Linked DNA regions of Neodiprion lecontei. The protein of the gene in region 1 interacts with the protein of each later gene in a pairwise test. Links are inferred from orthologs where the notes say so. Each region holds a gene or a part of one and is shown on either strand. Other genes may lie near its edges. The genes, in order: protein LTV1 homolog and 40S ribosomal protein S3-A.

The links.
Region 2: the proteins of protein LTV1 homolog (region 1) and 40S ribosomal protein S3-A interact in a two-hybrid assay, tested with the Caenorhabditis elegans proteins (2 studies listed by BioGRID). The link is inferred for Neodiprion lecontei from reciprocal best matches to the Caenorhabditis elegans genes T23D8.3 and rps-3.

The regions. Positions count from the first base shown.
Region 1 is NC_060262.1:40,655,289-40,660,772, forward strand, and holds protein LTV1 homolog, read right to left. Parts: upstream 3,215-5,484; 5' UTR 3,042-3,214; coding exon 3,039-3,041; intron 2,616-3,038; coding exon 2,051-2,615; intron 1,936-2,050; coding exon 1,715-1,935; intron 1,639-1,714; coding exon 1,510-1,638; intron 1,423-1,509; coding exon 1,231-1,422; intron 1,043-1,230; coding exon 794-1,042; intron 680-793; coding exon 566-679; 3' UTR 501-565; downstream 1-500. Other genes in the region: zinc finger protein 420-like, read right to left, coding at 4,105-5,484.
Region 2 is NC_060263.1:16,543,184-16,547,352, forward strand, and holds 40S ribosomal protein S3-A, read left to right. Parts: upstream 1-1,867; 5' UTR 1,868-1,935; coding exon 1,936-1,968; intron 1,969-2,427; coding exon 2,428-2,747; intron 2,748-2,834; coding exon 2,835-3,022; intron 3,023-3,177; coding exon 3,178-3,365; 3' UTR 3,366-3,404; downstream 3,405-4,169. Other genes in the region: cathepsin O-like, read right to left, coding at 1-137, 225-635, 1,010-1,195; GDP-fucose protein O-fucosyltransferase 2, read right to left, coding at 3,654-3,801, 3,862-3,991, 4,065-4,169.

The DNA.
Region 1 (5,484 bases):
ACTAGGAAGTTGCGCATGTTGCGCCTCTTCGCCGTGCACTCGATTACGGGGGCGCCACCGTCGACCTCGTGGACATCACGTGGCCACTGCCTTCTTGAGCATATTATCGTTCGAAACTTTGAATTGGAAATTCGCATTGAAGTTGGTTGCGTTATCGTACTAATCGTAATTATTCATGCTGAGAATAAACCGTTATTTCGCAATTTTGGATTTGCCTGAAATTTAGGAAACCGTAATAAAACAAAACACACTCAGATTTCGAAATCTTAGCAGCTTCAAAGTTATTGTAAAATTAGGAAAATAGTAATTTTTCACCCAATGTTTCGTTACGATAACGTTACTATAACTTCAACCCCGTATTGGAAAACTTGGAAAATGTGAAACTCCGTTAATACCGTAAATAAGAACCAACCTAATATACACAAACACAATGAATTGACAATGTTTAACTGATCTAACTCTACAATGGTGGGGAAAGAAGACAATAGTCGATAATTCCTATGTAGAAATAAATGTATCATTATATTAAATATTATTCAAATTTTCACAATATGACTTTATAAATTCACAGTACTCTATTGCCTTGGACGTTGTTTCTGTTGTTGAGCATAATTTTTTCTTGTCTCTTCTTTTCTTCTTTGAACGCTTCTATGTTAGCCTTGCGCTCCAATCTTCTTTCCTGATGAAACAAATAAGATTTGTGTAAATATAAAGTTGAATCGATTCAGTGAATTCCAGTGCCATGATATTTTATACGCGAACTTCATACAGTTCTAATCACTATGCGATATACCTTTCGGTACTCTTTGAGAGCTTTTTTTCGTTCTTTCCTGTCCTCGGGGGATTCGTCTTTTGGCCTTATACTCAGGACACTCAAAGTGGATTTCATGGTTTCTGCTACCGATCGTGGACCTGCGTTTGCTTGGCTGTCATTCTCCAAGTTAAATTTAGCCAACGTTTTCGCTGTCAACGTTCCATTAGACGAATTCAGGACATCTTGTGGAATCCCAGTACGTGGATTAATTTTTATTTTCCCAGGACCCTGAAATACATCGACTGAGTATTTTACATAATTATCCAAACCCCAGCCTTCTACCCTTGTACTAGTGAATTAAATCTCCGAAACAATAAAAACGAATAACACACTTTGAACACGGGACCAATCTAACAATTTGAATTTTCATATGGATATCAAACAGAAATTGATAAAAATCTTGTGTCTAAATTCACCTTAGGCTCTGATATAAGTTTGGGGTGATTATAAATGTTGCTGTAGGTAGATAGAATACTTTCACAGTCCCATTTCTCCTTTTCTCTAGCATCAACTACAAGCTTTTCCAAATCATTTTCATCCTCAGAATTTGATTCTTCCAAGTTAATGACTCTCAGTCGCTCTGCCATCAACTTTGCAACATTCTCAGTCTGTGGAAGAATTCAGTAATCAAAAGTCAAGCAAATTAAAGAAAAAAAAAAGAAAAATAATCAAGGAATATTTTCTTGAACCCTCACATTTTCTTTTTTCTTCTTTTCAAATTCATCTGCATACTGCAAAAGAATATCAGAATCAGGAGCAACATGTCCTTCGATTTCCTCGCAATCAAGTGCTCCAATTTCAAGATCATCGTATCCAGTGTACATCTGTAAATGGAAAAATGTTAAACTGGAATATTTATGTACTCTGCTGTTGTGCCAATAAGATTCTTAACCAACTCACCTTTTCAAATCTATTATCAAGTAACGTTAATTGATCATTCCGTCGCATGACGCTGCTGCTCATTGAGTAGTCGGTAAACTGTGATTTTGTTTCAACATCTTCAAACGCGAATTCCCGTCCATTTAAACTCGGAACCTGATCTTTCTCCTCATCTGATAGCTGCATATGTCCTTCAGAAGAAACATCTGAATACTGTTCGTCGCTTTCATCGGATTCATAGCCTAAAGATAATTCGTTGTGTATGAGACCATGAGATGCAAATAAAATTTTATGACTGTGTGAATATATGAAAAATCATTTCACGTAGAACTATGTCAACAATTTCATGCTGCTCACCATCTTCATCGTGTTCGTCAAACTCAATGTCGCTGCCTTCCGCATTAGCTAATTCAAAGAAATTATCTTCCAACTGATTATCAGGATCTTCAAAATCAAAATCTTCATCCATTGCAGCCACAATTTCAGGATCCACATCTAATCTCAATCCGGAGACCGGTGCTGCTTTATTAAGAAGACCAACATCTTCTTCAACATCAGATGCAAACACGGAAGATGGTAGGTTAATTTTGGGCTCAGTGCGGTCTGCATTTTTCTCTCTCCTGCTTTTCTGAGGGTCTTCAACCGGTTCCCATTCAACAGAGATTTGGTTTGAATCTCGCATATGTTGCAAGTAGTCATAATCATCATCAAAAAATATTCCGTACTTTTGCTGTTCCTCTTTACGCTTCGCGATATCTGTTTCCTTCTTCTCAGACTTGGTAGCCTGCGTCTTTCCGAGAGGTACTAATACTCGCTGAGGAGCGGTCTCGTCAGCAGCTAACGGATCTTGTTGAGAACGATGAACCAGGTGAAATGTCACCGCGTTCTTTTTGTCAATAAATTTCCTCCCTTTTCCCTTAGGCTGTAAACAATGTACAAAGTCTTGTTTTTTGAGTATTATTCTTTCATTACATAGGTAATTCGATATTAAACAGAGACAAAATTCAAAGCAGACTTCGATCACTTTCACAAATAAAAAAAATTCAGTTTGCAAGAATTTACGTTGAGTTTACAGATTTTACGAAAGTCCTAGCAGACGCTTTTAACTTAACCTAAAAATGCATCTTTTTCAACCGTGTAGGATTAAGGAGATGCGTTGAACTTATAGATTTTACGAAAATCCTACCAGTCACCTTTAACTCAACCTAAAAATGCATCTTTTTCAACCGTGTAGGATTAAAGAAATACGTTGAGCTTACAGATTTTAAGAAAGTCCTACAAGACGCCTTAAACTTAACCTAAAAATGCGTCTTTTTCAATCGCGTAGGATTAAGGAAATACGTACCATGATTAGGCGGACAACACTGACAGTCTTACAAGGGTTTATTTAATTCACTCAGCTATTATAAAAATCACAAAAGTCTTCCCCAATCTTGTTGAACTTTAACCAAATGCTAACTCCAAACAGTGAACATGTGTTAACTCCGTAGCAATGACCACTGAAATGCCGTGACACTGTCTTGCAACGAATGACCATTTTGACGCGACAGGGAATCAGGACCTTCTGATTGGCCATTGAATTTACGCTTGCGATTTAATGGTACGTTACTTCAACGTTTTGGAATGTTATTTAAAAATTAACTTTTCGAATCATTTGAATCGAGATTCCAATGTCAAAATGAACTATTTTTTCTTGTATTTTATACCAGATAAAACTCTTAATCGAGATTTTACAGTTATTAGTGGAATGAAGATTTTAAAACAATGTACACACATACATACGTGCATACATACATACCTGCACATAACAAGTTGGGTGTGAATTGTGTTCTTTTGAAACCATATCTAATATTTATCTATGCTGTATTTTCGTGAGCTTCGTATACAAAGTGCTTTTTGCGATAAAGTTTGTTGAACGGTTTACCCAATGTATAATTTGAATATTCAAATATGCATGCACTTCCATTATGCATGCAATTATTGAACAAAAAATAACAGGAAAAACAGAATAAAATATAAATAATTTTTAAAATATTTGTTGAGATAAATATTAAACGACATTATTATTATTATGCTTCTTATAAATGTTAAAATATAACTTTTTACATACTATATATGTATATCTGTTGTATAATCGGTAGATACATTACATTACATGCTACTATTTCAGTTACTATATGTAAAGGTACAAACGATAAAGAGAATAAAAATTTATTTTTTAGATGCCGTTGCATCACTGACCTCTTGGCATTTAATTTGATTTTTCTTTCCGTCATTATAAGTAAATATTCGTTATCATTACATGTGTTGCAAGATTCATCAGTATATAAAAATTTATACAATAATATCCTAGTAGAGACAATTTCTTATCACAGAGAATTTTTAGGGATTTTATGGAATATATCAGTTCATTACGAGTGAAATATTTGTCCTATAATGGCGAAGTTTCTCACAGCTGAAGCCATCTCTGAAACTTCCGGGTTCGGATGCATATGCAAAGCTGGATTTCCAACTGCTGTGACAGCAGCTGCGTGTGCATTCATTCTCTGCATACTTTCGACATAATTTTTGTTAGCATGACCCCCCAGAGAATTATTAGCGTTATTTAAATGGTGCGATGAAGAGAGCATAGGAATAATAGGAGCCATGACCGACGAGGTGTTGAGCCCAGTTGGCGACTGGGTATAATTTTGCGCATTTTGCTCAGAAACGGCTTGATAGTTGCTGTATTGAGCCTTGCATTTTTTTTCATGGACAAACAAGCTACCGGAGTGACTATAAGCAGTGCCACAGATTTTACAGGCGTACGGTTTCTCCCCAGTATGCGTAAATCTATGTTCCTTCAAGTACTTAAGTCGTCGAAACGATTTTCCACAAGTTTTACAGTGGTAATTAGCTTCTCCCGTGTGAGTTGTAATGTGCGCTTTCAGAGTGCAAGATTTTGCAAAGGCTGCACTGCAAAAATGGCACACAAAAGGTCGGTCTCCAGTGTGAGTTCTTTCATGATTAATGCAATTTGAATTGGATGTAAAACCACGTCCGCAATATTTGCACACATGCGGCTTATAGCCAGTGTGCGTCCGCATGTGGAACATGAGTCCTGTATTTTGACGAAAAGTTTTGCTGCAAATGTGACACAAAAATCGTTTGAAATTTGAGTCCTGCTGTTCCTTGGCACGCTCATGACTTCTCAAGTGTTTTTCTAGCTTTGATTCCTTTTCAAAGGACTTGTTACACTCATCGCAGCTGAATGGTTTCAACTTTTCATTCTTCTTGTCAATATTTTTCACCCTTTCAGCGCACTTACATTTATCCGCTTTGCAATTGTCACAAAAGTCTTCTCTGTTCTCATGCATGTTTGCCTTGTGCTTCTGCAATGATTTCTTGGTCACGTAAGATTTACCACAAATTTCACACGGGAACCCCTTTCCTTCGTTGTCGGAATCCAGTTCCTCTCTTATCCAACTGTTTATTAATTTTATTGCAGATTTGTCATCCGGCGGTTTTTGAGGCTCCAAGCATTCTTTGTCTTCATCATGCCCATACCTGTTTCTGTGGCTTTTCAATCTGTCTGGCCTAAAGAATTTCATGTTGCAAACATTGCAAACAAATTTCTTCTCGTCGTGTATCAACATGTGTCTCTGTAGAGATTTTTTTGTAGAATAACACTTGGTGCAGTGTTTACATCTATAAAAAGCTAGATTATTAAAAGAATCCGTCTCGCTTTCGCTCTGCGAATCCGAGTTCAGCGAGTCTGGGTTATAGTCTTGATTATCATTTGACATTTGCAG
Region 2 (4,169 bases), on another chromosome or scaffold:
CAGCTGTCCGTTCTCCACGTCATCGGGTACGCGGTTTCCGCCTTGATTTTAACCTGCGTTACCGTCAACCACATCAACAGACTGCAAATATCACCGCCGTTACAACCGAAGTTACTGTTTCCAGCGCAATCAATCATCTGATAATAAAAACCACGCATCAATGTAATCAGTTTCTCGTGTACATTGTGTTGCTATATTTCAGTCCAACTTGTTGCATTTTATACCTCTTGAACACTAAGCGTGTGCAACGTGCCATTATTAATCGCAAACATCGTTTCGGCGACTTCGACAGTGCTGAATGCCCAGCAAGCACCGCAGTTCATTTGGTTTCGAACTGGAGTTACGAATCCCGTTTCTCTCCAGTCGAATTTTACCGGTAACCCGGTAGTAGATCTCCGCAATCTGTTCTTCTCACTGCTGTCGGCTCGACCATCTTTAGTATCATACCGATTGTGTCGGTGCGAGTGATGATGCGAGTGATGGAGATGCCGCATTCCACGCGAGGACAAATCAGGGCGTAAATAAGAGCTCGCAAACTCGTCCTCAGACAAGTCGGAAAATTCTGTAACCCCGTATCTCGCACTTTCTTTCGATGTTCGCTTGGCGTTCATCTCCTCGATATGTCGAAGGGATCTCTAATTTTATTCAAACAGAACAATTGCAATCGCTAATGTAACAATGTCCGTTAATTATAATTTTTCGTGATATCATTCAGACTATGACGCATAGAAGCCTCAGCCTTGTGACCGTAGCAGCATAAATACGATGCGTATGAACTTTATCGCAAAGGTTATACGTTATATATAAATATTTGTGAACAAAAATGTCAAGTACCGATAATGTCACTAACTTAGATAAAGCGGCCGTGGAAAGCCCCACAAATCTGTATGCATGTGTTACAGCGTGTGTGATAATTGGCTTCAGAATATGGCGCGAAATCTAACAAGGCGCTGATTTGAATCAAATCAATCCGGAGGTAATCGGATTGTAGACAGTTAACGCCACCTACCTGAAACTTGCGAAACCTTTCCTCGTACTCTGCAGGTGATCGTGTATAAGATTTCTTAAATTTTTCAACATAAGTCTTGAACAATTTTAGGTCGCTTTCGGTGTTGTCGGGCTCGATCTTGATCGGTATTGCCAAGAAGCACAGGCTCACTACCGCGATTGTGGTTATCACCGTTTTCCACTCCATGACAATTGGCAGGACAAATTTTACATAACAAATTTACACAGCCGTAGTATATCAACAAAGTACACTACCCTGATTCTAACCTATATGAACAATTCAGAGTATACGTGCAAGCGGCAATTAAATATACCTCGCGAGAAAATGTATTTTTATCTAATTACTGAGGTGCCTCCTGCTTATAATGACTATTCTTTTACTGAATTAATCCCCACCGCAACTGTGGCCTGACCTAGCTTCTCTGTTATTCTTATGCGGAATGCCTTATCGTTGCGCTACAACGATGCACACGCACCCCGCACACTCGGCATACATTGTATGATTTGTAAACGCATAGGTATGTAGTCACATACGAAGCTTTCACAGCTCATCCATTTCAGTCCCTTCGCTCCTGCTGACTGACAAAAGTGCAATTACACGTGCAAATCTGTCTGACTGTCGTCAGGCGTAGAAATGAATTCACGCCTGATAGTGGCAATCGTGTACGCAAATGATCAGAAAAACAACTGTATGATTTAATGAGAATATTTTTTAACCAAACTTGTACGTCAATAACTTGAATAATTTGTATTATCTTTACATGCTTATGATTTTTCTACTGCCACGAATCATCTCATCACATTTCAGTATGAATAGGTTAAAAAAAGACGCTGATTTGAATGCGAGTTATGCGGTCGAGTCCCATTTCCGTTTCCAGTCGGAAGACCCTTCAGTTTTCCGTCTCCTTTCTTGTAACAGCGCTGATTATGGCAGCCCGTTCGATTTCGAAGAAGAGGAAGGTTAGTTAGTTTTAACAGCTTTTACCGCGTTTATCAAACAAATATCGCAATCACGGTAAAACGCAAACATTTCCTCACGATATTTTCCTGCTAAACCTGTGAATCGCCAAAGTTTGAATATCGGATCGCTCGGATACTTTTAGCTGTCGCTTGTTCCTCCCCAAAGCGGTTATCCCGCTCCTGTCACTTGTGCATCAAAAGTAACAAAACAGTTGTGATGCATTTCTGTGACACTCATTCTTTTGACAACGGCGTATCGCACTCCGATTTTTACTGGTTAATTATTCCATAGCCACGCAGATTTTTGTAGGTTAGGTTAAGGTTAGGTTTGAATCGTAAACACAGCCTGGCCCTTCAAAATACCCCAGTTGTCGATTTTTCGATTCGTTATTTCCACATGAAAATGAGGTGAATTCTTCTCTGCCTTATGTTCAGAACTAATTTTACTTTTCATTGCAGTTTGTTGGAGACGGAGTCTTCAAAGCTGAGCTCAACGAGTTTCTGACTCGTGAACTTGCAGAGGATGGTTACTCGGGTGTTGAAGTGCGTGTCACCCCAACGCGCACTGAAATCATCATCATGGCTACACGTACCCAGAATGTCCTAGGAGAGAAAGGACGCCGGATAAGAGAGCTGACTTCGGTAGTTCAGAAGAGGTTCAATTTCAAGGAACACAGCGTGGAACTATACGCTGAGAAGGTAGCAACTCGTGGTCTTTGCGCCATTGCCCAGGCCGAATCTCTACGTTACAAACTTATCGGAGGACTGGCTGTCAGACGGTAAAGATTTTAAATAATATTAATCCTAGTATTTATACGTAGTGTATTGGAGATTCAATACTTTCAAGTATTTATTTTTCAATAAAGTGCGTGTTATGGAGTACTTCGTTTCATCATGGAGTCTGGTGCTAAAGGATGTGAAGTTGTCGTGAGCGGAAAACTTCGTGGACAGCGTGCAAAGTCCATGAAATTCGTCGACGGACTTATGATCCACTCCGGAGAGCCAACAAATGACTACGTTGACACAGCAACCCGACACGTACTCCTCAGACAAGGTAAACGTGCAATTTTGCCATTCCTGTTTGAGGAATATCAGAAGTAATAGTTTACAATAATGACGTGATTATCGAATGTTTTAAAATATTATATTTGACTACTTTTCTGCGTATGAACATATTGCGTGATAATTGTAAGTGTTATTATGTTACAGGTGTTTTGGGAATTAAAGTGAAAATTATGCTTCCTTGGGACCCCAACGGTAAGACTGGACCCAAGAAACCTCTGCCGGACAACGTGTCAGTCGTAGAGCCAAAGGAAGAAACTCTTCCCACTTATCCATCCTCCGATGTTAAGGTGGCCAAACCGGATGCTCCCCCTGTTGCACCGATTCCTGTATAATTCCGCAGATCTTAAAATTAAAACTTTTTGAAAGATCAATTGCTCTCACAGTTAATCGCAATTATCCTTCCCTGGAAATATCTTTGCTAACTGTAAAAGTGGACTGGAGAGTAAACGACGCATAAATTATTACTCTTGAATTTTATCAACTGGTAGAAAAAGGTACAAACTATCAGAATGGGTAGGAGAATTTTTATTTCCGAATATTTTTTTTACTGCATCTTTTCTTGGATACATTGTTGCGCATTGTGTTTAATTCGAATTTTTGATTTTCGCCATCTTGACTCATCACCATAAGATTTTCCATGAACTTCTAGATTTGCATTTCTCAATTCCGCACAATTCATTGAATGTCATCTTTGATGGGAAACCCATTATTTCCCTATCTTCTTGGATTCGGAACGTGAACGTCGATTCGTGCGTTCCTATGAAGTACCTAGACATAATTAATAACATTGATTAGTTCTGTGGTCAGTAAAAAATAATAGAAACTTACCTCGCTTTTGAACAAATTATTTGATCTATAATAGCAACACCCCCATCTTTATACAATTTTTTAACACTATCTGATGGTGTGTATCTTGTTACTGCATACATGTTTAGCAGTGATTTAAGCTCATTGTATTCTAGAGAAAGAAAAACAACGTGTAACGTATGATATTCTCACAAATGGTTGAAGCGATTTTGAGATATTCGTACCGTTATTCTCTGCATCTGTTGCTATAAAAATCGACTGCAAATTTAGTTCTTCCATTTTTATACTCAACTGAGATGCCGCATTCTTTATTGTCGGTACAGAACCTG